Linked DNA regions of Struthio camelus. The protein of the gene in region 2 binds, or shares a complex with, the protein of the main gene of each other region. Links are inferred from orthologs where the notes say so. Each region holds a gene or a part of one and is shown on either strand. Other genes may lie near its edges.

Region 1 (7,649 bases), on a different chromosome or scaffold from region 2:
GACTTCCTATACCTTTCAACACAGGGAACGGGAGCAAGAAGAGTTACATATATCACACATACAAAAAGAGGGAAGGACATAGAAGGTCGGAATACACAATTTTGTTTTCTGTCATTATGCTTGGTGTCACTAATACTCCATCCCCAGTACTCCTTCCATCTTTATAAGCATCCTCTACTCAATCAGCTGTTTCTCCCCTCCGCAACACAAACTCCCAATGCACGCTGTCTTTCTGTACATCAATGGAAGGGCCTTCCTCACTGTCAACACTTTAGCTAGGAAGAAGAAACAGGCCTCAAAAGCTTGTTCCTCAGAAAGCAGTACGTCCTCTAACAGCAGAGCAGGGTTACAATACCCACGTCATTACCTAACAGAATTTATCACCAATAATCTCTACTGATAGCGATTCAACATACTGTCTAGAAAACCCCTATAAACTGTGAGGAATGGGTTTCCTAAGAGTCTGTGCAAGTCTTTCACGCTACTATTTAAACCTGTTGCTTTTTGAGCTATACTCTAGAGACACGGAGAACATCACTGTCTTGCACTTGTCTCTAGGCAAGTCTTCAAATACACAAGAAGGAAGAGATGCACAATCGCCGTTCTCTCACTCACTCCTTGCCCATCATGACTTCTGGACCTTTGATCAGGCTTGCTGTTCTCTGGATGCCCTCCAATTGGTCCACAATTTCCTTGGGGGCTTCCAGAGCTGGACACAATGCTACAGGTTAAGGTTTTACCAATGGAGAGATGTATAGATAGCAATTTTTAAGAGCGTATGATGGGCATATGTCACTTGTAATCCCCAAAGTACTCTTCTGAAATACGACATACCTGCTGCAAAACTGCCACCTGAATTACAGGAAACAAGAGTAAGAATGAAGTATCCACTATACAAAGCAGCATTTCCCAAGAAGAATTCAAGTCTGTTAGCTACAGTTTAAAAAGGAATTACCGATTCCATCTAGAGTTATCTTTAAACATTAGTACCAATAACCAATTTCCTTGTTTCACAAAACAAGGAGGACTTCTAGTTTTTGTTCTTACTTTTCAAGGAATTGATACAGCAATATCCGTACTGGGCAAGTAAATTTCAGATGTCTGCTTCGGCCAGTTCTGTTTACCTTCCAGAGTTTAAGAAGTAAATATAAGCATCTAATCTTTCTAATCAGTAATAGCAATTAAGTATAAAGTAATTATAACATAGAGTTCTGCTTCGATCTACAAAAGGAAAGCTCCCATCCCTGTACTACAGATAAGAGCCCTGCCAGGCTACAGTAAGGTGAGCACTAACTCATCTAGATAGTTTTCACTGACAACAGCAAGGGACGAGTAGAGTTAGCAATAACTGTTAACGCTTAAAATAACGCGACTTGGGAAAGCTCATCAGCAAAGTGGCACATGCCAGTTCTAAGCCATTTCAGAATCAAGAAACTTCTTATAATCTTGTCGATAATCCGTCACGACAACAAAACGAAATAACGTTCCTCCTCAAAAGTCTAGAAACAGTGGAAAAGGCACAATCAAAACAATAAAAGGTCAAACTAAAGACACCGTTTTACACTATTATTTCTTTATCAACACAGTTTAAGCTGCTCACTCAAATTATTACTGGTCCCCCGTTGCGCTGATTCAACTCTATGTGGCTGCACTCTAAAGAGATACGCAGAAAGACCGGTAAAACACACCTCTAACCATGTTGTGTTTTTATTTTTAAACCCAGATCAGTTCACACACGCGTTTCAGAGCGCTGCCGCACAAATAATCAAATCAACAGCACCAGCGGAGCAACAAGAGGTAAACTGGCCCATGCTTGTTTAAACCAGACCTCCCGAAGAAAAGACAGATTATATTTACCACAGATTCAGGGGACAGCAAAGAATAAAGCACACTCAGTTTGATTTCTACAAGGCGGTCCAGACACACACATCTGTCCTTGGGAAAGTTACTGTCAGCCAATTTTTCTCGACCTATGTATAAGGAATTGCACGGAAAGCTAGAAAACAGGAAAAACACCTAAAAAAAAAAAAAAAGGCAAGAAGCAGAACACAACAAAGGGTGGAAGAGGAACAAGGGTGCAAGGACAACACACAGCAAGCAACGGCGCTCCTGGATGGAAGTGAAGCAGCCATAACCAAAGCAGCAAGCATTTGGTTTGTCGCGTTTCATTAGATTTAGCAACACGCAGTTACCAACAGCATGAGCAGCCTTGTTTCCCCCCCCCCCTTTTTTTTAAACCCATTAACGCTTAAGGGGTGCGGCTTAAACGAAACCTAATATAACATCCTGGCAAGCCGCTCTAGGGACTTGTCTCCACAAGAAAAGTTACGGCTGCAGCTACAGCCGGTATAAACGCGGATGCGAGGCACGCGTTAACTCCGCGAAAACAGCTCTGATAAGACAAGGGGATGTCGGGTTTTTTCCCCCTTTTTTTTTTTTTTCTTTTTCCCCACCTCCCCACCCAGCCTGAACCGGCCGGAAACCTCCGCAGAGGGGTGGCTCGGTGCTGAGGCCGAGCCCGCACCCCCCCGGCGGCGAGGCGGCGGCTGACAAAGGCCGGCGGCGGAGCGCGGCCCCCCCCCCTCGCCGGGCCGCCCTGAGGCGACTTTCCCGCGCGCCGCGGCGAGCGGGCTCCGCGGGACCGTTAAACCGCCGCCTCGCCCGTTGTGAGGCGCCGCCAAGACCGGAACCGGGATCGGAACCGGGATCCCCCCCACCCCGAGCCGAACCGCACCTTCTTGTAGTGCTTCCCGAGCCAGACGCGGACCGAGTCGAGCTGGGACACCGTCTCCGGGCTCTCCCAAAACTTGCCCGTGGGACCGCCGTCCTTCCGCCGCGCCACCGAGAGCGCCGCCAGTCCCGGGCCGGCACCCACCGCTGCCGCCGCCGCCGCCGCCGCCGCGGCTCCGGCCCCCGCGGCGCCGCCGCCCGCCGCCACCGCCGCTGCCATTGTTACCCTCGCCGAGCGCCGCCACCGCGGCCCTGCGCCTCCCACTCGCTTCACTCCGCGCATGCGTCGAGCCCCGCACGCCCCGCCCCGCCGGGCATGCTCGGGAATACCGCTGCCCCCCGCCGCCGCCGCCGCCGCGCGTGCGCGTGCGCGCCGCTCCGCTCCGCTCCCCCCTCCCCGCGCCTCCTTCCCTGCCCCCGCGGCGGCCGTTGGGCGTCCGCGCTCCGCCGCGGTCAGCGCCTGCGCCCTCGCCGCCCCTCCCCCCCAAACGGCCGGCCGCCGCCACCGCTTCGGGGCGCATGCGCCGAGTTCCGTCCTCCTCCTCCTCCTCCTCCTCCTCCTCCTCCTCCTCCTCCTCCCCCCCCCCCGTGTGCGTCGGCCGGACTTCGGCGCATGCGCGCAGGGGGACCCATCGCCGCCACCACCACCATCACCTACCCGCCCCCCTCCGGCCAGCCTCGGCGCGTGCGCGCAGCCCTGCTCGCCGCCCCTCCCCCCCACCACCGCGCGTGCGCGTGCGCGGCGACGCCGCCGCCTCAGAGGGGCTCGCGGCGGCCGTTGTCGGGGCGACGCCGCCTCAGAGGGGCTCGCGGCGGCCGTTGGCGCGGCGGTGACGCCTCAGCGCGGCCGCGGCTCCCGCCATTTCCTCACAGCCCGGCCTTGAGGCCTGAGAGCGCCGAGCCGAGGCGGGGCGGGGGGTGACGCGCGGTGCCGGTCCGAAGAAGTGGCCGTGGGTTGAGGCGCGAAGTTGAGGGCGTGCTGAGAGAGCGGCCGCCTTCCCGCCTCGCTTAGGGCGCTTGTTCGGGTTCCTTGCTGCGCGAGCGGTGCGGCGGTGGGGTCCCTGGGTTTGCTGGGACGTGTCGTCCTTAGTGCTGGCGCGGCTCGGGTCGTTTGCCCGTGGTTCAGCCTCTGCTGCTGTCGCGCTGTGCTGGGCCGAGCTCCTGAGTAGGTTACCTGTGGCTGTGGAGACTGCAGCTCTGATGTGAGCTCCTTTTAAATCTCTTATCCCGGTAGAGAGGAGTTGGATGTATAGAGTGGGAAGTTAAACTTGTTCTGTTAAATGCCTCCTGACACTCATCTTTGGGCTAGCTGGTGGCCGTTGAAATTTCTGACACCACCGTTATGGCAGTAGATTTCTGCTGATATGAGAAATAAATCAGCCTGGCTGTTGCTGTTTGTATTATCCTGCTGTGGAAAGAGATGTCTGGGGAGCCGTTTACCTTCTTATATTTGCTACTCTGTCTTAGGAGCAGCGGACAGCAAAGCATCAGACCTCTGTATGGGATACCTGAAGGACATCTCATCCCGAGGTACTGCTGCAGAGATGTGACCAGGTTTATTGTTTTTTTTTTCCCTTCTGTATTTCTGAATACAGTTGGCCCATTGCTATAAGGACAGTTCTTGCATTCCTCGGCAGAGCTGAAATGAGCAGGCATGTCTCAGCCTTCGGACACCAGCCCAGGCTCTTTGTTCTCTAGTTGTTACCACAGGATGTGGTGGAGTGTTAGTGCCAGTGAAATCATTCCTGGGCAGCGTGATTGTGTGCGTTGTTCCTTCGGTGGCTAAAGCTTTGCACAGAAGAGAAAAAACGGCATTAAAATGAATAATGGTTGGAGGGGGGAAGGAAATGGAAGACCGGAAAACGGCCTCAGCCTTCAAAAAGGTTTGAAGCCTGTGATCTCCCCATTACGCAATGATTATACTGCTGAAAATAACAGGGTATGCATGTGATGATAAGCTGTCAAGCACTAAGCTTACAGATGGCTCTTTGTTCTAATTCGCTACTGCACCTGAGCTGGAAAGGGAAGCCGTTCCCTGGATCTGCTGGAAAGGGTAAGAATGACATGTACGGAGGGAAACAAAAGAGAAAAATATCATAATCTCGAGTAGTTCCTTGGATGGGTTATAGGGAGATATAGTATGTGGTTTTGCAGTCTGAGTCACTTAACGACAGTTTAGTGTTGGATGGCTTCGCAGCATGGCCTAGAGAAAACCATATTCACGCAACTCCAGGAGGATGAGTTGCTGCACAGGAGTAGAAAATCTTTTGGGGGGCAGAAATTCCTAAGGTCATAATTGCTATTAAGTTCCTCCTCTCTTGGAATCCTGATATATAGGACATACTTGTGTAAGTATGTAAGCATGAAGAAAAGAAAGGGGGAAGAAGAGGGGAAGGGAGGAGGACATAGTTGTACCTCAGTGAACTTTATGTGCCCTGATATTTTGTAAAAGCTCTCCGAAGAAATAAAATGAATTCAGATTCTGATGTTTATGACTGTGAAAACTAAGGAAAACGTTTGTATTTTAGTTACGTTAGAGAAGGAGATCTGGGTCTGCCTGCCCTGTAATCATAGGTTTCTGCTGTTAAGACTCATTCTCTTAGGTAGATTGGAATAGGATTAATATGGGCCTTGAAAGTGGAAAAGTATGGAATCAAGTATTTTATCTGGTGGAAACTGAGACTTTTGATGTGCCATGTAAGAACCTTGAGATTTCAAGGACGTGGGGAATGTTATTCAGGCCCTGCCTCCAGACATCTCAAATTATCTGCCTTTTTTTCATTCTGCCAAATTTAGAGTGTCCCTGCTTATCCTAATCTGAATTGTCTTTTGAGAGTGTAGACTAGCTTACCCCTCTGATTTATATGATTTCGCTGACTGTCACAGGGTAGGGAGAACTAGCTTTTAGCCTAGTTTCTTAAAGAAACGAGGCTTATTCAGTCATTTTTCCTGTCTGCGTTCCCAAACCTTCTAAGCGTTGGACCTGCTGACCGCCTTCAGTCATGCTTGGCAGACAACACAAATGCTGTGATTTCCTGGACAGCCGAGCGAGTAGTTTGTGCTCCAGAAGTGTGTCCTTTCCGCTCGGTCACCTGAGGCGTTCCAGGAATCTGAGCGTGCTGACCATTATGCTGGCAGTGGCATCATTTCCCTGCCTGTGGCAGGGAAAAAGGTTCAAGCCTGCAAACAAGACTAAGAAAAGAGCTGTACTTCAAGACTAGCTGACAGTTGACAAGGATGCGATAATCTTGTTTTAGGACGTGTCTAAGTGTGCGAACACCAGAGGAAGCAAAGGGAGAGTTCACAGTACAAGCAGGTGACTTGTGAACTGAAGCTCAGGTTTGCGTGGAAACTTTGAGAGGTTCAGTGGAGGTAGGTGATTAGGGAGTAAATTGGGTGCCTATATCTAGAACTGCCTTATGGTCAGTTTTGAGCCTAACAGGGTTCTCTTGGGAATTTATAGAAGGCTAATCAGAAAAAGCTGCCCTGCTGTGTGATCTCACGAAGAAAATATCTCATGGGAAGGGAGACCAGAGCAGGCAGAAGTGCAGAGAGTTCCTCTCTCTTAAGGGAGAGCTACAATTGCTCAGCATCCCACAGGGTGCTGCGTCAGTGCTCACAGGATCGTGGTCCTTCACTTCATCCCATACTATGGAGGATTGTAACCCCAGCAGAACAGAAATTTACAGCACGTGAAAAAGCTTACCTGGTTGGATTATGCTCAGTGGCGTTGTGAACAGTGCACACCTTGATGAAGCATCTGAGCACAGAAGACTAATGAGAGTTCTGTATGTAACCTGAAGGTAGCCAAGTTGATGCTGGCATCCCTTAGCAAAGAGGTGACAGTAGAGACTCGAGGTCTGCTTCCAGTCTTGAGAGATCTTGAACTTGCTTTCACTGTAAGCACAAGACCCAGCTTCCATACTGAGTGGAAGATTAAAAGGAGGAACATGTTGAAAGAAGACTCAGTACTGGCACAAAAGAAAAGTGGAGCAGTTGGTATTGCCTGAACTTGCCTGAACAGAGTTGGTAGTACTAATTTATAATCAAGGATATTTAGAAATAGACGAAACACTGACAGTCTTGCAGGATGCAGATGGCAGCCTAAGATGAGAAAAGATGCGGAGACATAAATTAAGAACCACCTACCTTGTACAGCCAACAAACCATTACAAAAGCAGTGAAAGATAATAGGGCCACAAGATGATTTTTGGACTGTGGAGGTGTTTGTATGTTGTCTTTTGGATCCCTGCCCCCCAAACTGCATGAAGAAACAAGTATTGGCTAGTAATAGCTGGCAAATTTACCCAACAGGTGGAAGCAGTTCTAACTCAAAACACAACCAGGGCAACTGCAAAGATACATCTGTTCTCATAATGGGGAGTCCCAAAGGAAGTTGAGACGTTAAAGGAGAAATTATGAAAGGTGTCAGACAGATTTAGCAGGGACTCTGCCTGTAGCTGCAGGGTCTCAGAGAAAAGCCGTCAATCGCTTTTTCGTCATCCCTAAGGCTGCACAGCCAGCTGACCTCCCCCCTGCATCTCCTTAACTTGGTGACACAGCTCCTCCACCAGCACACACCTCCTGCAGGCAGGGACATGCAGGCCTTTCCCTCTGCCCCAGCCTCAGCACCAGGCACTCTGTGCAGTGCTGCGTCCTCCTTTGGGAGCTCCATCTCAACAGAGGCCTCTGATGGGCCAGGGGTAGTTGCTGCAGTCAGGGCTGTGGATCACGTCACAGAATCACAGAATCGTTTAGGTTGGATGGGACCTCTGGAGATCATCTAGTCCAACCTCCCTGTTCAAGCAGGGTCCTCTAGAGCATATTGCCCAGGATCACGTCTAGATGGGTTTTGAATATCTCCAGCGAAGGAGACTCCACTCCCTCTCTGGGCAACCTGTTCCAATGCTCTGTCACCC
Region 2 (7,496 bases):
CGGGCACCACCTCGCCGCCGCGCCCCGCGGCCCGGGCGCCGGCAGAGCGGCGACCTACAGCGGCGCGACTCCACCGGCACCGCCTCGCTCCCTACCGATTTAGGGACTTATCGGGCCGAGCTCGTCGGGGATGCGGCACGTCCGTCAGGGCCACGCTGCGATCTCTCGCAGCGCCCCGCGCCCGTTTGCTCCGCGCGAAGGACCTCTGCGGTCTTCCCACCGCCTACGGATTTTCGCGTGCGTGTTGGGGAGAAAAAACACAGTTATTCGTGCACGTATTCACTTCGGGCACGCTCCTCAGCGCCGTGCCACTCTTGTAAAGGCTGCTGGACTAACGCACGAGAACAGAGCACTTCACGCACCTCGATGCGTATCGCACGAGCCCTTACGACTACGGCGCATATACATACACACAGGGCACACACGCACGCACACACACACGCACATACACACTCTTCCAACAGAAAAAGGAACCCGGCTGTTTTCAGCGGATTTCACTGCGGTAACTCCATCAGTGACAAACTAATTTGCTAAAAGCATGCTCCACAGCAACTCATCCTGTTTCCAAAAAAAAAAAAAAAAAGGCCCTGCTGTAAGATAATGAATATTATTCTCCAAGAACCCACTGGGTCTGACACTCTAGTTACCAAATCCCTCTTCGTCCCAAGCTGCTTTTCCTCTGGGCCCTGCGCCTCTGCATCGCTATTTCAAAGTGGAGGGAAAATTGTTAATTGGGTTTCAGAACAACCTAATTTTCGGCAGTGAAACCAGCACTCCGATGCCTCCAGCCTAATTGGGGCCGCGTATTGTGCGCCGCTCGCCCCGGCTACGGAGGCAGCGAGTAGCTGAATTGGCCCAGAGGGGGGAAAAAGAAAAAAAAAAAAGAAAGAAAGATAAGGAAAGGTGGGGGGGGGGAGGAAGGAGGAAAGAGTAAAGAAAGCAAGAAAAGTGAATTGTACAGCAACTAAGCGGCGGGCAGGAGCCGCGCGGAGGCGGGAGCCGTCCCGGGTCCCGCGCGGGGGGTTACCTGGGTCCTGCTGATGGTCTGCCCGGTGTTTCCAGGGCTCATAGCCGGGTGGTTTCTTTGTTGCGCCGCTGCCCAGGCCGGGTTTGCGGCTCCGTACTGGGAGCCCATGTCTTTGCCCATGCCCATGCCCGCCGCTGCCTGCTGGCTGCCCGGGGCGGCTGCCGCTGCCTGCGGCTGGGGCTGCGGCGGCGGCGGGGCGCTGGGGCTGCTGTAGTCGGGGTAGCTGCTGCCGTAGCTCCGCATCATGGGGCTGGGGGAGGTGAGCAGCTGGTTCAAGGTAGGGGTGGCCCCGGACGGGTGCTGGTTCTGCCCGGAAAATCGCTGGAAGCCGCCGGCCGCCGCCGCCGCCGCCGCGCCGGCAGCCGCCTTGCCGAGGCCGCCGCCGCCGCCGCCGCCGGGGCCCATCATCATGCCGCCGCCCGGCTGCCGCGGCGAGCTCAGCACCCCGTAGCCCGCCGAGGAGCCCCCGTAGCCGCCGCCGCCTGCCCCGGCAGCCGCCGCCGCCGCCGCTGCCGCCGCCACGGCTCCCGCGCCGCCGCCGCCGCCGCCGCCGGGGCCCCGGCTGTAGCCCGGGTAGTGGTTGTACTGGCTGTTGGGGTAACCTTCGTGGGAGTTTTGCAGGGGGTCCATGCTGTTGGGGGCCGCCGTGGGGTGCATTATCCCCATCCCGGGGCTTTGTTGTCCGCCATGTTGATCAAAGCAAGGCCCGGCGCGGCTCGCCGTGGCGCTGCCGGCAGCGGCGGGGGCAGCGTTGCCATAATAGCTGTTGAACTCCGCGACACCCACCGCGGAGGGGCCGCCGCCGCCGCCGCCGCCGCCGCCCCCGCTCCCGCCGCCGCCGAGGCCGCCGCCGCCGCCGCCGCTCCCAGCGCTCTGGGGCGGCTGCTGGGGCTGCTGCTGTCCGCCCAGGGGTCCCAAGCCGGGGTGCTCGTAGCGGCCGCCGATGGGCTCGCCCATTTTGCCGGGCATCTCCTCCTCGTCGGCGCTTTTATTCAGCATTTGCTGCGGCTGCTGCGGGGGCTCGGCCTGAGTGCCCAAAACACTGTCTTTTCCTCCATGTTGCTGCTGCTCCATGTCTGCACTGGGCTGAGCAGCGCCGCCACCGCCACCGCCGTTGTTGTTGCTGCCGCTGCCGCCGCCGCCGCCGCCGCCGAGGCTGCTGTTGTTATTCTGCATGGGATGGTGCTGAGGCGGCGGCTGCTGCGGCGGCGGCGGCGGCTGGAATTGATTTAGCTGCTGCTGTAGTGCATGGTGGTGGTGGTGCGGGTGGTGGGCATGGTGGTGGTGGTGGTGGTGGTGGTGGGCATGGTGATGCGGGTGGTGGGCATGGTGGTGGTGGTGGTGGGGCGGCGCGGCGGGGTGATCGCCTCCGACGCTTTTCAGTTTGTGGTTGGGGAGCAGCCCCGTCTCCATGGCCGGGCCCGGGTTGGAGGAGGAGGAGGAGGAGGAGGAAGAAGAAGAAGAAGATAACGCCGAGGAGCTTCCACCTTCCTTCAGAGCCGGCTCCGAGGAGGAGCCGCCGCCGCCGCCGCCGCCGCTGTTGTTACCGGTGGCAGCGGCAGAAGTTGCGTTATTGGCCATGTTCAGCGGCTCGCTGTGGTGCTGGAGGAGATGGTGATCTACATTATTCAGGCTGCTGCCGCCGGTGGGAGTCCCGTCTCCGACCCCCAGCATGGGGCCGGGCCCGGGAGCCCCCGCGGCGGCGGCGGCGGCGGCGGCGGCGGCGGCCCCGGCCCCCCCCGGGCCCCGCTCCGGGCCCAGGCTGCCCGGCAGGCTCGGGGCTTTGCCCTTGCTGTTGTTCGCACCCGCCGGAGCCGCTGCGACTTGCGCGGCCATGATCATTGCAACATTGCAAGTCCGGAGAAATTATTAGTAGTAAGAATTAAAAACAAAAAAACAAAACAAAACAAAACCCCTTACCCTCCAAAAAAAAGGGGGGAGGGGGGCCAGTCGGGGGGAGGGAAAGGAGAGGAGAGGGGCAAAAAGAGAAACGGCTGGGGGAAAGAGACGTAACTGAGCCAACAGTATCCCCTGCGGATCACTCCACACGCACAAAAATTACAGAAATTTCCCTCCCCGAGTCCGTGATTGAGATTAGAAATGGTAAGAATGCCTTACGGTCTGTGCCTGTTCCTGCTGTGTGATTTCATGTTGAAAGTTTTTTTGTTCAGGTTTAAATGAAACTTTTTTTTTTTTTCTTTTCCTCCCTAACCCGGATATGGGTAAATACACGTCTGACTGAGCCTATCTGGCCCAGCATGGCATGAGCGAGCGAGCGAGCGAGCGAGCCCCAGCAGCCATCGCCCCCTCCGCGCCGAGCGCTCCCGCGCACTCGCAAAACGCGGACTGGACTCGGCGCGGCGCCGGCTCCCGCTGCCGCTGCCGCTGCCGCTGCCCGCCGCGGCCCCGGTGCCGGCACGCGCGGGCGGGCGCGCGGGGCCGGGCGGCCGGTAGGAGTGGGGGGCGCGGCCCCCTTCGCGCCCCTGCTTAGATTTTGGTGGGGTTTTTTTTTCATTATTATTATTATTTATTTTCGTCATTTTCTGTGCGCACCCAGGGCTGGAGCCGGGCGCCGGCTCTGGGATCAAGTTCCGCGGAGGAGGCAACCCCATGCGGGACTCATGTCGGCCGAGGCCTCGCCCCAACGGCGGCTCCGGCCCGAGGCGGCCGCGCTGAGGCGCCCGGCCCGGCCCGGCCCGGCCCGGCGGGGCTGCCCGCGGGCGCTCAGCGGTCGGGCCCGGCCGGGCCGGGTAGACGGGGGCAGCCCGCACGTTGCCGGTGCCCAGATTGGCTGCGCTAAATACATAGAAATAAATGGGTCAAACTTTGAAAGGCTCTAGTCCTCTGCCCTTGAGTCCGGGATGTGCCGCGCAAACGCATTTTCATTTTACGCGGATGACAGGGAAATCCTGTCATCCGTTTCATGGAAAAATAGGATGCTTTTTTTCTCCCCCCTCCCCCCCCCCCGGGAAGATTTCTGTTTTTTTTGCAAAGGGTTATAAAATGTAACCCAAAATTCTGCGGCAGTAGCATCTTTGCAGTTGGCCACGTTGCCCAGCTGCCTCCAGACTCTAATGGTCATTGCACTGATGATGCTTTTATACATAGGGCTCTTTTCAGTATGTTCTGTGTGCTTATTTGCGGATCAACAGGAGCTGGTCAAGGGGAGTGAGACGTTTTGAGCCTCATAACTGTTTCCCCAAACAATATAATTTCTAGTATGCACAAAGCACTCATGAAAACCTAGTAATACAAAATATGTAATCAAAGTAACTTTTGCTCCAAATGCTAAACTGTTGCTGCTGACCTACATTTTTGTACACTCTTTCAGAATGTGTTGGAGGGGTTTCTATAACTATCTTAATAATAACTTAGCATTAGAAAAGATAGTAGTCATACACTACATTCAACTAAGAAAAGCAGTGGGAAAATCAAATATTCTGCACAAACATAGCAAACTGGGACGTTAATGAATGTTTTCAATATAGCAAGGGTCTGAAATACGCTGTTTTAAATGAATTGTTCTATGTGCTCTGTTAGAGATGACCGTGCTTTCAAATTTCAAAATAGATAAATAGGAAATTCAATAGGAATGATAGAGAAAAATACAGTATACCAAGAAAGATGCTGTCACAAGTAGGTAGGCCTTTTTTATATCCACTGTGAAAACATTAAAGAGCAGAAGCTTCATGCTCTAATGTTGAATTACATGCAAAGATTATTGATAAATGTGCAAACAGTGTGATTCCAGTGTCTATTCATTTTAGCTCTGTCTGAAAAAGTCAGCTATGTTCTGATTTCCATTAGGGAGTTAGTTTTTTAAAGTCTCAGTGTTCATCAAGTACATCTTGATAATACTTCTATTACAATCATATTTTTCTTCGTTTTCTCTTTTGGTACTCTGTGCAAGTGCGAAAATGTTATATGGCTAGTAGAAACAGAGTGGGAAAAAAAACGGTGAGTAATTCTAGTGGGGAGAATCAGGTGCATACCCAAGGGTCATTACAGTCTGTAACAACAACAAATTGCAATTCTATGCAAACTGCTAGAAAGGGGTATATCATCTTTGTAGGAGAGAGAATAACAGAACTGTAAGATGAATTCATGCCAAATCATTCATCAGCTTTTGCCAAGAGAATACTACATCTTTGTTAGTGAGCCTTTTTGACATTTTCTCCTGGATTTTCTTCTTTTCTATATTCAAACGCACACTAATTATACACATTAAACCACATAAGTTGATTTTTTGAAGTCTTTCATATGCAAATATAAATATAGATGTCTACTTGTGTGTATTTATTTACATGTGTACTCTAAAATAAAATAAAAAATCAATTACACATTTATACTTTGCGACATTTATATCCAAGCAAAAATATTTATATTTAAAATCTGATAAATGTATTGACCGTGCCTCCGTTGAGGACTGCAGTACTTCCTGACATAGTCCACAACTCTTTCTGAACAGGAAAATAAGCCACAAAGTTTTAACGCAGATTTACTTCAAGACGTTTTTCCTGGGAAAGAAAAAAAAAAAAAGATGAAGCTTAGAAACTGAAGAGTTTATGCTACTAACTCCTTTTCCTTCCATTTGTTTCAGCAACGAGGCTGGCTACGAGATTGGATCTAAGAGGCTATAAAATTGAGGCCCTCAGCACAATGAAATCAGTCTGCTATAAAAGGCAACACATGCCAGTTTTTCCTCCCCAATGGCAGATGCCACACCCTAAAGCAGACAGAAGGCACTGCAGTCTGTGCAAGGGAAGCACAACACAAAGCAACGATGGTTCAATTTTTTAGATCACAAATAATGTTGAAATTCCCTTTGCCATCTTTGCTCAGATGATGAGTGGTAGTGTTTGTTAAATTCAAATTCTCCCTTCCAAAAGCTCTCATTATATGTATGAATTATGAATTTATTGTAATAGAATGTAAAAAAAGCTCTAATTGTCATGCATATAATCTGCTGCAAAATGATTGCATTGATATTTAATATCGCAAGTGCGTAGTTTCAACTTTAGTTCAATTTTCAGTGTTTCTTCAATTTAATTGTTTTCTATAATGCAATATTGTCTAAGCATGGTTTCTTTTTCTTGATTTTTTCCTGATAAATTATAAACTCCTGTGTTCTGGGATAACTTTCCAGGATAAACAATATAATTGTCTAAACTTACTGTTGTTTACTTATTACATTGACTATGACATTTATACAGACACCCTAAGCTGTCTGTGCATAGCTTGCCAGTATGGAAGTTAGATGCGTTTCACAGCAGTAAGGCAAACATCTTTCTGTTTGGTCAGAACAGTGGCTTTTAGATCATATAAAGAGTAACGGTAAAGAGATATACAGAAAATAAAACAATATTTTAACAGCATGGAGGCGTTATTACCTTTAGAGATATCGGAATAAACAGCAATATTGTGCTTTTTGATTTTTTTTTTTCTGTGAGGTAAGAATCCAGTCAGAGCATCAAGACCCTGTTGCATCTGACCTAATACCCACAAAGGTCAGAAAAATTCCTTCATGCAAAAATCCCTTTTGTCTGGTTCTGGTTGTGCTGTATGCTTAAATTCACTGTGCAGTTAGATGAAACAGTTGTCAAATTCACCATCATTCTCAATTTCCTTCTTTCAGATTGGCATTAGGTTTAATGAGAAAAAAAAGAGAGAATTGAGATTTTATTAAATTATCACGTCTTTTACTAGTTAAACATCCAATCCAAATCATTCTGAAGTCAGTGCAAATCTTTTAATTGATTCCAATAAGGAGGCATAAATCAGATCACAGAAAAGTATGTAGCCAGGTCAGTGCTTTAGCTTTATGCTTTAGCTTGGTATTTGGTGCTATAGTAATGCGATTTTCCTTTTAAGAAGACCCTTATGTGGTCAATATATAGCAAAGTAATATTTTCTTCATCGTATGTTATTTATTTTATATTTCAGACATGAATGTAATATGTAAGCTATTACAGTGGATACCTACCTGTTAAGTTAGGTGTAAAGGCTATATGTAAGTGCGATAATTTTATTTTAGCTGGTCATAATAGACAATGAAAAAATACAGTGTACGCCAACAGACTGTGGCCTAAAACGTGTAGAGAGTGACACGTTCTACCAGGTAATTAAAATCTATTCTTTAGCAGACACTAATTCTGGGCAATGTAATCAATTTCTTCTGGCAATGTGTAAACAAAAGGACTTAGAAACATCACCATCTCCATCTCAAGAATGTCATGTATTATTTTATCATGGAATTGTAACATTAGCAATTTTTTTCCTTGCTGGTTTTAGGCCATTTGAATACAATGTTTGAATACCTCAGTTTTACAAATGCGAATCATCCACTGAAGTCAATAAGATCACTCACTTGCTTAAAGTTAAGACCTGATTAAGTGCTTCTGTGGACTGAGGCCTCTAGGAAAAACAGCTCTTAAGTCTGTCCTTGGTGAGATATCAGCTCAACCCATTT
Region 3 (7,827 bases), on a different chromosome or scaffold from region 2:
TGTGCATGCCTGGTTCTCAATGCAGGAATCCAGTTATAAGAGCAGATACCATCATAGTTTTTGTAATATTCGCACAATCTATAAAGCTGTGTGCAAAATGAAAACTCTGAACAAACTATGCCAAAAGCAGTAAAATATTTTATTTTCATAAGTTTTTAAGAACAATCTATGTTTATACAATATAGCATTTCCAAGCCTTTTTAAATGTGATCCTTTAAATTCATTGCGCCAGACTTTACATTTCATCTAGATCCCATCCTGCACTTTTCATCCCAGAGGCACAGACGAAAAACACTGGATAACAGTTTTCAAATTTTCTTTGGTCAGTAATTTCACTAGCATCCTTACTTTCTCTTTTGCACAAGATTAGTACTTTCTCATGTCAATGCATTAATCCTCAAAGGCAAGCTATTATAGAAATGCAAATGCTACATAAGATTCATTTGCTTTCAGGTGCTTTTCTGACCTCAGGACATTGGTATTTCAGTACCTTTTTTTTTTTTTTTTAAATGTACACAACTGGACATGATTCAAAATCACCTCTCATGTTTCTGTAAGTGTCATTCCAGACTGTACAGTAAAATATTTTTCATGCAACAGACCAAAAATACCAAGGATTTCAAGAAGTTTGAATAAGACTGTCATCATGAACGTTTTGTTATTCTGAGCCAATATAACAAAGATTTGCATGCCCCTGCATTCCACTGAAAGTCAGCTAGGTAGGTACCACAGAAACACCAAAACACATAGTGCTTTGCCCATGCTTTGGGCATGAAATTTTAGAATTAAGTGTATATCAGTCTGTTCTTAAATATTCCAGTATATTTTTGCAACACAAGCTGTGAATATGATTTCCGACCCAGGGCTGTGGTAAGTTATTAAAGGCCATATCACCAGATCTGTGTTAATGAGAAAAATCACTATACTTACGGTTGCGGGAGCTGGGGTAGGAGGTGGGGCGTAAGATGGCCTTTCTGTTGAAAGATAAATGCAAGCAGAAAGTTTTTTCTTGAAAATGCGAATGAATTCTTTATAAGGCATCCAGAGTCCCAAACACTTCAAAGATTTACAGAAGACAGACAGAGATCCTGGCCTCAAAGACTTACTTTCCACTATGTCATTGAAGATTGTAAAACAAAGGATAGGAGAGAGAGGAGAAAAAAAATCCCACGCCATTGCCAGATTGCTAGCCTTTTATTTAGACATAAGATTAAAGACTATAAAACATATTTAAATGAAGATCAGTTAAAAAGAGGGTAAGCAAAAGTGTAGTGAAACATCATTTAGGAGAAACTGATATCTGGATTGTCTATGGAAACAGAGAGTTGTACTCAAAAAGTAGTCTTTGATATGTTATAGTATGCTTTAGAAATAAGCAGGAACAGGCTAAGGTCCAATCACACCTGAGATGCCAGAAATCAGCCACAAGCAAGATTTAAGGCCAAGAGTTTGGTCAGAATCATTCCTTTTCACACAAGGAATGACAGAATTATCTCACAGTTTGGTTCTTGCTGATTCAGATCTTTAATTCACCAAATTAAAGGAAGAAAAATCTGAAAACTTACTTGACATTTTGATAGGCAAATTTTCAGCCACCTGACATTATATTTGTAATTCTGAAAAACAAAAGAATATTATGCTATTAAATGTTAAGCTTTCCCAACTCTTTGAAATTTCAATTATAATTACCATTAATTACTAAAGAAGATTTGCAAATTTTGGAACAAAAACAAAACAAAGTTTCTGAAAACTATAGGTGATATATTATTGCAACATGAATGTGCTTTCCAAGGAGTTTGGCCTTAAACAGCTGTGATTCAGGTTTATGTGATCTCCATGATACAGATTTTAAGTATAACTTTTTTCCTAAGCAATAAAAAGGATACGTATCACTATTTTACACAGCCTGCTTCAGAAACCTGGTCTTAATGTATGAGCGACCTCACTAAATATTTCCATTACGGAACAGGAAAAAGTAATCACCAAACATGATAGAAGCTATAGGGTTCTTCATAGCATCGGCTATGGGATGTGAGAGATTTAATCTCATTCAGCATCAAGCTCGTAAGCGTGTCAGGGAAACACACAGCAATAAAGCAGTGTTCTTTCAGCCTTCCTCTTAGAAGAAGTCCATCAAGATTTCAATAGAAGTTAGGCCCGTTTTGGCACTACGTGACGGCACAGCGGTCTTCGCTTTGACCTTTCCTCGTTTTTCGCACCGAAACGCTCACGAAGTTCAACGGGGCAGAAAGGCCCCTGCGTGCACCACGGAGCAGCCGGTCTCTGAAGCCGGCCCAGCGTTCCCGCTGCCTCCAAACGGGGCCGTGCCCGCTCCCGGGAGACCCGCAGCCGGCCCGAGAGGCACCGCTCGACCCCCCCCCCCCGCCGCCGGGCGGGACCCCCGGCGCCTCCCCGGAGGCAGCGCAGCCAGGACAGGGCCCCCCAACGCCCGGTGGCGAGAGGCGGCCGGGCCGGGCCTGCCGCCTCCCAGCCCCTCCCGCCCGCGGCTCCCCAGGCCTCGGCGACCCCCTCGGCCTGCCCCCGCCGCGAGCCCGCGCTGGAGGAGGCCGGGCCGGGCGAGCTCCGGGCCGGGCCCCGCCGCCCCGACTCACCGGCTCCGGCCCCGGCCGCGCTCCCTTTGTTCCCCACAGGGCTGGGGGAGGCCGCGCGGGCCGCGCCTGCGCCTCGGCACTTTCCACACGCAGAGCCTCCGCCCCGCCCTCGGCGGCGGCTGCTGCTCGGGCTTTACCGGAGAGGCCGCTGCGCTGCCCGTCTCCCCTCCGGTGTCACCGCCGGGCACAGACCCTCCCCGCACGCCCGCAACCCGCCGGGAGGAAGGGAAGCCGGAGCGGATTGTGGCGAATCTGCGGCACACAGAGGGTAAAGGCAGCGCCGGGCTCTGCGCGCAGGCGCGGCTCCATCCCGCCCCGCCCCGCCATTCCCCCAGCGGGGTGGTTTCTCAGCCGGCGGGGCTGCCCGCCTGCCTCGCGTTCCCTTCCGCACTTTCCACACCCAGCGTAGCCTTCTTCCCGCCCTTCCGCTGGGGCTCGGTAGCGCCCGCCGCCGCTCGGGTCGCTGTTAGCAGGTCCGCGGCGGGCGAGCGGAAGGGGCGGGCGGCCGGGTTGCCGCGTTGTCTCCGCGTGGCGAATCTGCGGCTGAGAACGTCCAGGCAGGCGCGGGGGAGGTGAGGCCGTTGGCGCCTCGCGCCCGCCACGCGCCCGGCGGCCATTTGGCGCCTTTTCGGCTCGCGTCGCCTCAGAGGGGGAGCGCGGCCGCCGGGCCGGGCCGGGCCGAGTCCCTCCGCGCGGGGCGGCGGCGACGGGACAGGAGACGAGCGGGAAGAGCCGGGCGCAGCGCAAACGGCCGTGAGGGGAGGGGGAGGGGGAGCGGCTGGAAGAGGCGCTGCTGCGCTACAGCCTCGGGGCCTCGATGTCTCTCAGGAGCGGGATAAGGAGCGTAGGTGACCTGTCCCGGCAGCGCCGAGGAGCCGTGTGTCTAGAGTGGGCCGGACCGTCCTGCAGCCACGGTCCGGGAGGGGCATGGCTTTGAAGAGAAGCTGAGCGGCAACGGAATTTAGCCCAAAGTTTGCTCTTGCTTAAGGTGCTGTGAGGGAAAAACAAGATTTTTCTGGGTCGATGGAAGGGCGTAGGCAAAAGAAGGTCTAGAGGAAACAGGTCGGCCTGCAAGAACCGCATGATGATGAGCATAGCGAAGACTAAACATGTGGCCTATGGGAAATAATTATAAATCTGTGCAAACTTTAATTTTGGACTATATCGGGCTGACCAGCTCAAGTACTTAGCAGCTGAGTCATAGAAGACTGTGAACTAGGGAGCTCTGAAGTAATCCGGAACGATTTACTGCATGAATATGCAAAGGTATCATATATGCAGGTAAAAAGCCTGCAAATACAGAACACAATACACCTTGCAGCTCTGAATGTCTGAGGAGCAGAGCAGTTTCAGACCTCAGTGTTCCACATATGATGGTTTTGCACAGTGAAAATTGTTAAAGTGACTGAGTTCAAAATAAAAATATAAAATTGGGAAATGAAATGCTGTCATATGGCTAATAAGATAAAATTCTAGACACCTATGAAGGAAGATTTGGGTGGGCCTGGCGATATGGCATCTGAAGGAAAGCCAAACAGTGGATGTTCCTGCTAAGACAGTACGCAGAAACATCTTTGTTTTTTTGAAAAAAACCTAACTGAATAGGATCCTGTGTTACTGCAAGTTAGGCCCGTTTCTTGATGCGCACTGTTTATCTAAACAAGTTTGTTCTTAAATAAGCACATTTCTGTGAACACAGAGACAATGATTCTGCCCTCATCTGCTTACAGTATGCTATCTATGGCCACGGTGGAAATTTGCTGAAGAACAATAGAATAATCTGCAACTTCCATTTGGTAATTAAAAGAATGTAAGAATCCAAAGATTCCTCAGATAGTCAGCTAGATCAGCCTCTTTTTAGTCCACCAGTTTCACGTGGATAGAAGTTTGTGAAGAACAGGTGAGAAAATACTTGTTAAAAATAACCTAGTTTTATTCCTGGCTGTGACTGCTTCATGCATTCCTCTGTAATTTATTAATAACTTGATTTTGCTGATAAAATGCTAAGACAGTTTCCTAGTAAGTAGTTATTAAGAGTCTGTTTCTATACGCTGTACGCTTGTATATGCCCAGAACGAAGTCAGCGCTGACCAGTAGCATGTCTTTGACCTTTGCACTTGCTAGGCAAAGGGGACTTTTCGTGAAAGGCTATTCTGTTCGTTCTTTCTGCATCAACACTTTGTGCAGCGTTCTAGTTTATGTATTTTCTTGCTAACATCTATAGTCCTCTTTGACAGTTAGTTAAATTCCACTCTCATTTTCCCAGGTCAAATGTTAATAGAGCTAATGCTTTGAATTTAGCAGGAACCTTCGGATGTCTGCTAACAAGACACTGCTTTCAAATTTAATTTCAGTGATATCAAATATTCAGTGATTTCAAATATTAAATTTTAGCGATATCAAATATTCAGTCAAGTAGACAAAAATGATTAGGAAAACTAAGATGTGAGGAGCGAGACAAAGAGGAGTTTGAAGAAGTGGTTGGAGTTTGTTGTACGACTGCACCTGTCGCTGAGACTCAAAAGCCTTTTATTTTCCTTAGGTGTTCAGCTGAGTGAGAATGCCTTGAAGTTACATTGAAAGATACATTTATTGCATGTAGCATGACATTTTCATTCTTCCTATTCAGAACTTGGTATGGTTTTGGCAAGAAAGGTGTAATTGTGTTCTGTGCATAGAAATTTTAAAATGATGAGGTCAATTCTAAATTTATGCAGCTTGAAATATTTCATATGGTTTTCATGTATGCTTCCTGATAATCACTGTCCATGCTCATAGAACCGAATCATTTATATATATTTTCAAAATTAGCAATATATTGCTTGCTTTATGTTTTATGTTTTTCATTTTGCTATTCATATGAATCAGTTACTAGATTGGTAGACCTGGATATCCAAGTCATCTGTAGTCATACCATGGCCTTTCACTTAGCTGAGGAGGACAGTTTCTGGCATCAGAGGTTGTAGTATACTTTGCAATGTACTGCATGACATGAGTAGTTTTACTGATGTAATAAAATTATTTATATAACATCCTCTTTAATTGGGGGGACGGGCTCTACATAGTTGGCTCTTATCCGACTTCTGAGACTTCTGTTTTTTCCGTTAGCAACAGTTTCTTAAGCTTTGTAATTAGGACATATATTCAGTGGCAAGTAGGTTGAGACAATCAAACTCATTTTTACGGCAGACGTTTGCAGGTGTTAGATGGTAATAGCCCAGCTTGTCTAAATTTAATTAGCATCTTAGCAGTGAAGAATTCTTTGCCATAGTATTAGGCTTCAATATTGCATTTTTAAATTCAACTTTAAAGTGACCTGAAATCAGGGCAAGATGTTACTGTGCATACTGCTTTTTCCTATGCCCGCATGGCATTCTCAGTGGCACTTTTTGTAAATATAAAACATTATAACGGGGTTTGACCCAGTTGTTTCAAACATCAACCAGGAGTTGTGTATTTTATGAGTAATTGAGTTCAGTGGCATATAATGGGAACTTACGTGGGTAAAATAAATTTCTCGTTCATGGGACAGCTCATGATGTAGTTGTACGGTTGTTAAAGTCGGGGAAATGGCTTCAGAACCCGTGAGGCCCTTATACGGACAAAATAACGTGTATCAATAAAGTCAACCTTTTTTCTATGTACTCAGTTTCCCGGGCCAAGTTGATTACTCTAGATCTAAACAGTAATTTTTCTCTTTCAAAATAGCGCGTACATTGCATTGCAGGGTTGGGTCAGATATGAGTTCTGTACTATGCTGGGGAAGGCTTCCAGCATTAGTGAAAAATCTAGAGTTGCACTAGATAAGCTAAAAGCACAAGTATTGTGGTTCAGAGAGTAAGCCAAACACCCAGTGGTAAAAGGCATGTACGTACTTGCTATTTGTTTCTGCTTCTCTGCTGTCTTTTGGATGGTAAAGTGTGTATGCCAGATGCTGTCTGTCTTCTTTTTGTGTGCAGAGCTCAGAACAAAGGACTTGAGATGTAGTCAGGGCTACTGGATTTTAGCAAAAAAGAATAATTGTTGTTGTCCAAGAAGAATACACACCCTGCATGCATGTTGTGATAAAGATTCTTAGGGAATATGGGTCTTACCAATTGTAGAGAAGAGCTTTAAAAAACACTCAGCTGCAGTGCTACAGATTTGCTTATCAACTGCTTTTATTGTATGTTTTTCTATTTTTCTATTACTCCTTTCTTCTTGAGACATATATGCCAAACTCACAAAAAAAGCATGGGCAAACTCAGTTTTATTACTTTTTGTTGTAGTGCTATCATTTACTTTGGTAAATTCATATCCCTGTTTAAAGTGCCTTAAAGCAATTAAAACTTAGTTCAAATTCAAGTATAGTAAAATGTACACAGTATAAGCACAAAAAAAAGCTGCATAGTGAAAATGCGAGGGCAGGCTATTACATTCAGGATGCCAAATACTCAAGTATTAACAACACCAGATCAATATTAAGGTTAATGATACTTAGTCAGCTTTATACAGTAGATACAGAACCATGGGCAGTATAAAATGCGTTGTTTGTACCATTAACAAAAGATAGAAGCATAACTCAGTACTGGAAAAATTTGCAGTATCAGTTTTTGTTACACATGCCATAAGTAGTAAGGCAATTACTGACACTTAAAAGAAATTTTTACATGCTACCATGGATCTAGTAAATATTGTATGTGGTTTTCCTAGATTCCGAGCCCCTGCAATCCCAGTGACTTAGACTGAGTTAGTTTGTGGCATCAGTTCCTCTTAAAAATCGTCATCAGCAGTCGTTCATATCTTAATACAATTTTGTTTGAAATTTGTTTCATAACCTCGTAAAGAAAATATGTCTGAGTTTTATTTCTATTTTTCCTGTGTAAAGAGGTAAGATCATCTGTTGTACTTTGTATTTGACCAAAGCTACTTTGAAAAGTGACGGCGGTACCTAATACACATGGCAGAATTTTACCTTACACAAAGAGCCCTTACTTTGTCTGTTTAAGTGAAGCTACAATAGGTGTACCCTGGCATAATAATGATTTGTTATACGTACTAGATCAAGAGCATAACATACCTATAAGATTTTTCAAAGGAGGGATTTATTGAAGTTGTTTTAATTCACGTTGTTATGATATGTGAGATAGATACCATTATTAAAAGTGGTTGATTGACTCCTTAAATTTGAACAGTTCAAAGGTATAATTTTACTTAGTATGGCTAAAAGAGTTAT
Region 4 (7,516 bases), on a different chromosome or scaffold from region 2:
AACACATCAATAAAGAGATAAATCAGCCTAAAGATGGTCATTAAAGCCATGTTTATCCATAAAAATGCATAGAAATAGAGCAGAGAGCAAAAAAAGGACAAAGTGAAGGATGAAGCCTTAGGAAAAAAAAAAACCTTTCTCTCCTCCTACGGAAACAACGCATAAGACCCTGATGAAACAAAATGGGAATAAGACAATTATAAAAAAATTAAAAAACAAAAACAAACCTTGTTTACATAAGAAAGGGCTAACCAGAGATATAACAAACTATCAAAAATTCAAGCAGAATGAGGACAAAGTATTGTCCTTAAGATTGTTTAACCATTAAGATATTTCATACTACAGGGGTGTCCCATTTGAATGGGACAAACAGGGAAGAAGACTCCTTCTAAGCTGGCAACGTGGAAAAGAAGAACAAAGGCAAGATGAAGTATCCAAGAGCAAAGGGCAAAGTGACCTCAGCAAAGGAGAATATGTTTCCAGCAAGATCAAGTGAATCCAAATTCTAACTGCCCTCAGGAAATGCTGCAAATTTTCCTTTTCGTTAAAGCGTTCACATAGCAAAAATTTTTCTCACAACATTCTACCTCTATTTACATCCCCCCTATCTTTGCCAAAAAAATAATGCCTGCAATAATCAAATAAGTACAAAGATAAAATACAAAATAAATAACTTGAAGAGGAGGTTTTTCCTGAAGTGAGAGTAGAATCTGACTCCAAGGAATTCTGATAAAGTTTCATTTTTCAAGGACTTAATTCAAATGCTGCCACACTGTATGTGGTAATAAAACTGAATAGCTAGCAAGATGTGAACACAAGGCAACAGCTGTGATGGCACATTCATTTATTTGGGAGAACATAGGACCTGAAGAAGTAAAATGAAGTATGATTTTTTTTCTCTTTTTTTAAATAATGGAAGACTGACTACCTCAACTTGTGCTTTGATCAAAAGTTACCCGAGACGAGGAAGAGACTGATGAAAAGAACAAATAAGGAAGCAGAAGCCAAACTGAAGAAGATCATCATGGAGGGTAGGGGAGGAGAGGGGAGGTAAGGGCAGGGTCACACAAGAAGCGTTTCTGGCAAGAGAATAACAGACAAGAAGCCCCAGCCTCACTAACAGGAAGAAGATGACATACAAATGCAGATATTTCATGCAAATGCAGATATTCAAGTAAGATGCCACTAGCGGCTCAATTCCCAGTGCAAGTCAGATTTCCTTAGTATCCAAATAACTAATGGAAACCACTTCTACTGTATTCATTCTGGTATAAATTAAAAATTCCAGTGCTCAAGAGGACAGCATGCTCAGCTAGATGTAGAAGAAACACATTCACGTAACTATTTTAGCCACTCTTCTTGATACTGAAGGAAGTTTGCTGGTGTGCAAATGCAGTAGAAAACAGAATGCCTTTTCCTGGGAAAAGGGAAAAGCATTCCACATGCCAACGCCTCCCACTTTGCCTATGCTTCATCCTTTACTATAGCCATCCTAGCTATAGTAATCCTGAGCCAGAACATCTTAATGACTCCACATGTCCACAACAAAACCACTGCCACAAACCTGCACACCAGCTATTTGATTGTCTCTGTACATCTGCCAATCTAGCAACAGACTGCTCCTGCACATTGGCACCAGGTCATCTGTTCACTGTTCTCACAAAAACAAAATGCCACCTAGAAGTCCTTGGCCTTGCAGGTCTCACCATATCCAGGATCTGCAAGTCACCAGCTAGATTCTATGCATCTGGAGTAAGCCTGAATTACAGAGACAATTCTGCAGCCTGCAGTGAGCTCCCCAGATTTCTATGACTGTTGCACAAGAACCTCCACCTGATGTCTTCAAAAAGATGTCACAAGAAGGTGCCAGAATCCTCAAGAGAGAAATCACCCAGGACTATTGGTAACCAAACAATATCTGCATTCTTTTGGACTTTTCAGTAATCTTTTTTTTTTGTTGTTGTTGTTAAATGTATATAAGAAATCCACGTTATAAATGGTGACTGCATTCAACCGTTTGAGAGTCATCTATAAAACACGGTCTCCAATGACAGTAAAACAGGGGTTAGCATTTCCCCTTAAAAGGAGACTGAAGATCCGATTCTTAAACAAAAGCTAGAAAATTTTTAAAGACCTCAAGGATTCCTTTAATTAACCATGGCACCCTGAAATTCTCTTGTGGGTGAGTGCCTATAGACTGTTGTAGATCTGCAGAGCTAATCTCTTCAAGCCCCTGAAAGTCACCTGTTAAGTAGCCAGAGGATACATAAGAGCCAAGTCTGGAGACAAGAACCAGAGGCAGTACCACAAGGCTTCATCAGGCTTTCATCAGAATTGTTTTTCAAAACACAAGTTTGATTACAGAACAAAGTGTCCTACAAGCCCATCTGGGTCAGATCCAGTGCAGATTCTGCACTGTGAACAGGCTCAAAAGAACGCTATTCACTATTCACTATTCATGGAGAATCAAAGCAAAAATCACAGCACACATCCCCCCAGACACAAGCCTGTATTATCAATGAATCAGTACATATTCTGGGGGCTTTGCAGACCCCGGTGCTCTCCTGGCAAGGCAGTTACCAGTGCCCCAAGAGCACGTTTCAGGAGCCAATCCAGCCCAGCACAGAGCCTCCAGTTTCCACTCATCCCTCTATTCAGAGCCAGCCAGCTCACTAACTTTCCCGACTCACCACCCCATGGACCAGAAACTCAAAAAGTTTGCTTTTCGTAGCTTTGCGAGCCCCTCCTGTAACTTCATCTGTAGCCATCAGGGTCTGCTCAGCCTCTCTCACTCTCTCTCTTCCTCTTTCTTTCCCTTTTCTGCCTTTTTCTCCAACTCTCCCCTCTGAGTCCTGCTGGGCTCTCACACTTCTAATAGCGCGGAGTGGGGAGGGGGCCCCTTCAGGGCCTTCCTGACGGCCCACTCGCGCTAAGCCTCAGCTGCTGCATTCCTCCACTGATAAGCCAGAAATAGTTTGTGCTGCCGGGTTCTGTGTGTTTACTCTGCAGGGACAGAAAATCCAGCTTTTTAAACCTCTCTGTCCAAACACCAGAGATAAGCAGGAGGCAAACTGAAAACACGTCTCAGCTTTTTAGTAGCAGCGCTGCAACCTCTCCTCCTCAGCACAAGGGGATGGTAAATTCTGGGGCAAGGGGGAAGGGGGAGGGGGCAACTTCAGCAATGACATAAACTCAGTGCTTCACGGAGAGACTTTTCCCATTAGAAAATGCAGCAGGCAAGCAGTGAGAAACAATGGTTTTCCCTTGCTCCCACTGCTCCTCCTGCACTGCATTTCCAGGCCTTTTCCCCAGAGACCTGGCAGGCAGCACACAGAAACATTCACTGGCAGCGTTTCCAGCACATGAGACTGAGAACTAACCCCTTTGGACGAGAGAGAGAAACAGCAGGAGGCAGAAAGCTGGGAACAGGGAGGGACGTGGTGTGAGAGCGAGGGGAAAGAAAGAGTGCGAGAGCAGCAGAGGAGGGGGCGGGGGGCAGCATGGCGGCGGGGCGCAGCGCCTGCTTCGCTCCTGCCCGCCCGCAGCCTCCCCTCGGCCCGCTCTCGGGCCGCTGCCATACCGCCGTGACGGGGCCATCAGAGAGACCCCAGGTGGCTGACCGACTCCGACACTGCTAACGCCACGGCTGCCATTACGCGTCAGGGCTGGCTGCTGCCGCTCACACAAAGCCCCGCGCACGACAAGGCGCCTGGTCTCGGACCCTGCTGGGGCCGCGGAGCCGCCGCCGCCGCCGCGCCTGGGGGGGTGAAAGCGGGGCGCGTCGGCCCCGGCCCTGCGCTGCCCCGCTGCCGGCTCAGGCCGGGCTTGAGGTGCAGCGGCGGCCATTCCGCGCAGCGGCGCCAGCTCCTCCGTAATGGCAGAGCGGGTGGCGGCGGCCCGGGCGGCGATCTGCCGGCTGACAGCTCCTCCGTGCCTGCGCTGGCCAGGCCTGATGGCTCCCGTCGGCCTACCACAGCAACAGAGGACTGTTGCCAGGCTGCGAGAGGGGTTTATCTTACTCCTCGGCTTGAAATTCTTGTCTAGGGGCTATGAATTTTCTAGCAAGGCCACGAACAGAAGAGAGTCAGACCTGAAACAATTAAATAAATAAATGTCTGCCCTCAACTAGTACTAACAGCAAGCACAGAGAAGACACAGAATCAGCTGGCAGTGAACAGCAAGCCGCGAACATCACACAGCCCTCTGCACGTGGGGACGAAGGCAACGACCTCCACTGATTTTCAGGGTGACCCCAAACTGAGCACTACTCTGTGGGGATACCCATGGGAATTACAGGAATTTTGGGACGGCAGGCATTGCTGCCTGTTCCCACTCCCCCCTCAGCCTAGTCTGTTCACGAGGAATACGCCCAGTAAAGCAGCATGGCCTTATTCTGTGCAAAAACCCTTCCTGAGCTTCTGGCTGCCTTGAATCAAACGCACTTTATCTGGAACCACACTGTGCGCTGCCAGCACGGGCCTGCGTCTCTGCAGCCTTTTGGTTCCCCAAAGCACACACTGCCATTAGCTCCTGTCTTGCGAGCCCTCTCCCCTGCTCCCAGCACAATGTGCTGTTTCTTCCCTAGAGATCACAGCAGTTGTTGGCTGCTGCGCTTGCTAGAGTGCCGCAGCTTTCACTGCAGTGGGATTACTGACACGTGTCTTTGTGCAGGTGTTGCTATTGCCATTGCTGGAGGGGAACTGGGTTACAGTCCCGATTCTGAGAGAACAGTACAAACAAGCAGCTGAAACATGCCTAAGCGCAGAACGGCTCGCAGGAGGCTTTAGGCATCAACTGCCGGACGCGGGCTGACGGCCTCCGAGCGGCTCCGGCGCGGCCGAAGACCCCGGCGCGAGCTCCCCGGCCCCGGCGGCCCGGCCAGGCCCCGGGCCCTCGCCTCGCGGCGGCCGCCCGGCCCGGCCCGGCCCGGCCCGGCGCCGCCCGCGCTGCCGGCGCCGCGAAGCGGGACGGTCCTGGCCCCGGGCGGCCGCCCCAGCCCCCCGCCGTGGCGGGCGCGGCTCCGGGCCGCGGCGCGGCGCGCAGTCCCCCCTCGCGTCCCCCCGCGCTCCTCCGCCAGCACCGACGGCACCGAATGGCAACGGCGCGCCCGGCACGGGCAGGGCGCGCGCCAGCCGCGGCCCCAGGCGCGCCGCGAGCGAGCGGGCGGGCGGGCGGGCGAGCGGACGCGCCGGGCCGGGCCGGGCCGGGCCGGGCCGAACCGGGCCTCCGGCGGCGGGCGGCGGGCTGCCCGCGGGCCCCGGGCGCGGCGGCGCGCATGCTCGGCGCGGCCGCCGTGAAGGTCAGCCCGCGGCCTAGCGGGGACGCGCGGGCGGGGGCGGCGGGCAGCGCGGCCTTAACCCCTTCCGCGCCGCGCCGCGCCGCGCGGGCCCGGCCCGGCCCGGCCCGGCCCGGCCGCCGCAGCGCGCTCCGGCCCGGGGCGCTCCCTGCCGGCGCGGAAGCCGGGCTCGCCGCTCGCCAGCCCGGCGCAAGGCGGAGCCGGGGCGCGGCGGCAGCCCGCGGGCGGCTCCCGCTGCGGGCGCGGGCGCGGCAGGCGCCTCTGCCCGAGCGAGGAGGAGGTGCGCGCTGCGGCTGCGGCTTGTAGCAACAAGCTACAGTTGCCCCATCTCCCTCAGTAGGAGTCTTTGCTGCATTCTGCAGCAGGAGGGTTTATGCTGAAGTGTTACTGAATTTCAGTGCGATACAGTACAACATGAGTTGTGTTCTAGCTGGATGTTCTTCACGGGAATTACATGAAGAAATTTCCTTAAAAGAACATCAGATAACAAGGTCAACCACACTTGAAAAGTAGGAGATGGTAGATTCACTGTTGCCATAGACAGAGTAAGTAGAAGTCCTGAGGGAGAAAAAAATGCTCGTGTAATAATAAAACTCGGCTCTTGGCACTTGATAGTTCTCAAGGTGCTGCAGAAAAGAAGTCAGTATAACTGTCGCTTTTTTTTTGCAAATGGAAACTAAGGTACAAATGAATGGAAGTGACTTGCCCAACCTTACCTAGCTGAGAATTAAACCCATTTCCTGTGATTCTTCCACTCACTACAATGCTCTAAGAAAAACTAGTGTATAATGCATGTGCACAAAAGGATGAGGGGTACAGTGCAAGAATGAATTCCTCCAAATTACAACTGCTTGACTTTGTAAATTAAATACTTTTGTTTTAAATTTGTTCTTTTTTTTCTATTTTCCCCACATGTTTTCTCAGAAAATGTAGAAAGTAAGTATGTTAAAAAGTGCCTGGTTCAACCCAAGTATCTTCCCCAACTGCTACAACTATGTGGGCAGCTCCTAGACATTTCTAGTCTAGCACGTCAGCAGCATGGGACTGACTCTAGAATAGTTGTATTCCTTTACTAGTTTTTAAAGGTTGAGCACACTGTGGAGCTCCCTCAATCCCTCCATCCTCCCTTCAGGCTCCCTTTGTGTTATATTCCTAACTCATTTTATTTCAAGGAAAGCCTGAAATTCTCCCTCCGCACCTCTTCTTGGGGCTCTGGAGGCCACTTCTGTCCAACCTGTTTTTTTGCTTTGTTTTTCTTTTTTTAAAATTCTGTGCTATTATTCAAGCTTTTAATATTTTTAAACTATAGTGATCAGGCTATAAAAGCTGAAAAGATAAGGTGGTGTTTTTTGATGATATGTTTGTTACTGCCTTCAATTTTCTGATCTACAGGTGATTAACAAAGTAGATAAAACTGCTGGTTGTCCTAAAGAGGCATGGTTTCTTTCATCCAATTTTCACTCAAGTCAATAGGGCTCTGTCCACTGAAAGGTAAAATATTCTCTACAGTTTTAGAACTGATGTAATATGCCATAGAAAAAGTACTGAAAATCAGGCAGAAAATGTCCCAAGGCTGAACCTTTGCTTATTGTAATAATGTTTTTTCAAGAAAAAGAAAAGGCTAGGGGAAAGAAATAGCAACTAGGTCCTGAGTTCAGAATTATTCAATATTCTCATTAACAGTCTCAATAACAAACAAGATAACAGGCTTATTAAATTTGCTAGCAGCATAAAGTTAGGGGGCGAATTGTAGGGGTGTACTAGGAGAGAGGACTGAAATTAAAATCCTGAGAAGCTGGAGAAGTAGTCTGAAAAACCAGGCATAATTCAATAAGAAATACTGCAAGGTTCCACATCAAGGCAGGAATAATCAACTACATAAATATAAGATGGAGAGCGACTGGCTAAAGAGTAGTTTTTGAGAAAAATATTTGGGGATCGTAACAGATCATAAGCTGAATGTGAATCAACACTATTACACCCACACAAAATAAGCAGACAAATCATAAGAGCATTAGTGGTGAATGCTGCCTCACTTCTCTCTTCCCCTTGGTTACAGCAGAAGCAGTGACAATGACACTATAGATTCTTCTTTTTCTCCTCTTCTCATTCTATCTCTGCTTCTTTCCCATCCTTCCTCCTCTTCATGGCACAAGCAGTCATGGCTCAATTGTAATAGTGCTGAGGAACTAGCACTGCTGTGATAAGAACTGTTAATAT

The links.
Region 1: ARID1B (region 2) and SMARCC1 share a complex: the UniProt entries of both Homo sapiens proteins name them as parts of the neuron-specific chromatin remodeling complex. The link is inferred for Struthio camelus from reciprocal best matches to the Homo sapiens genes ARID1B and SMARCC1.
Region 3: ARID1B (region 2) and SMARCE1 share a complex: the UniProt entries of both Homo sapiens proteins name them as parts of the neuron-specific chromatin remodeling complex. The link is inferred for Struthio camelus from reciprocal best matches to the Homo sapiens genes ARID1B and SMARCE1.
Region 4: ARID1B (region 2) and SMARCD3 share a complex: the UniProt entries of both Homo sapiens proteins name them as parts of the neuron-specific chromatin remodeling complex. The link is inferred for Struthio camelus from reciprocal best matches to the Homo sapiens genes ARID1B and SMARCD3.

Annotation. Positions count from the first base shown.
Region 1 is NC_090943.1:1,277,924-1,285,572, reverse strand, and holds the start of SMARCC1 (SWI/SNF complex subunit SMARCC1), read right to left. Parts: upstream 3,014-7,649; coding exon 2,735-3,013; intron 1-2,734. UniProt on the Homo sapiens protein: Involved in transcriptional activation and repression of select genes by chromatin remodeling (alteration of DNA-nucleosome topology).
Region 2 is NC_090944.1:78,519,934-78,527,429, forward strand, and holds the start of ARID1B (AT-rich interactive domain-containing protein 1B), read right to left. Parts: upstream 3,006-7,496; 5' UTR 2,870-3,005; coding exon 1,028-2,869; intron 1-1,027. UniProt on the Homo sapiens protein: Involved in transcriptional activation and repression of select genes by chromatin remodeling (alteration of DNA-nucleosome topology).
Region 3 is NC_090966.1:7,066,626-7,074,452, forward strand, and holds the start of SMARCE1 (SWI/SNF-related matrix-associated actin-dependent regulator of chromatin subfamily E member 1), read right to left. Parts: upstream 3,006-7,827; 5' UTR 2,613-3,005; intron 1,617-2,612; 5' UTR 1,573-1,616; coding exon 1,566-1,572; intron 975-1,565; coding exon 931-974; intron 1-930. UniProt on the Homo sapiens protein: Involved in transcriptional activation and repression of select genes by chromatin remodeling (alteration of DNA-nucleosome topology).
Region 4 is NC_090943.1:136,334-143,849, forward strand, and holds the start of SMARCD3 (SWI/SNF-related matrix-associated actin-dependent regulator of chromatin subfamily D member 3), read right to left. Parts: upstream 3,001-7,516; 5' UTR 2,769-3,000; coding exon 2,691-2,768; exon of another isoform or gene 2,678-2,690; intron 1-2,677. UniProt on the Homo sapiens protein: Involved in transcriptional activation and repression of select genes by chromatin remodeling (alteration of DNA-nucleosome topology).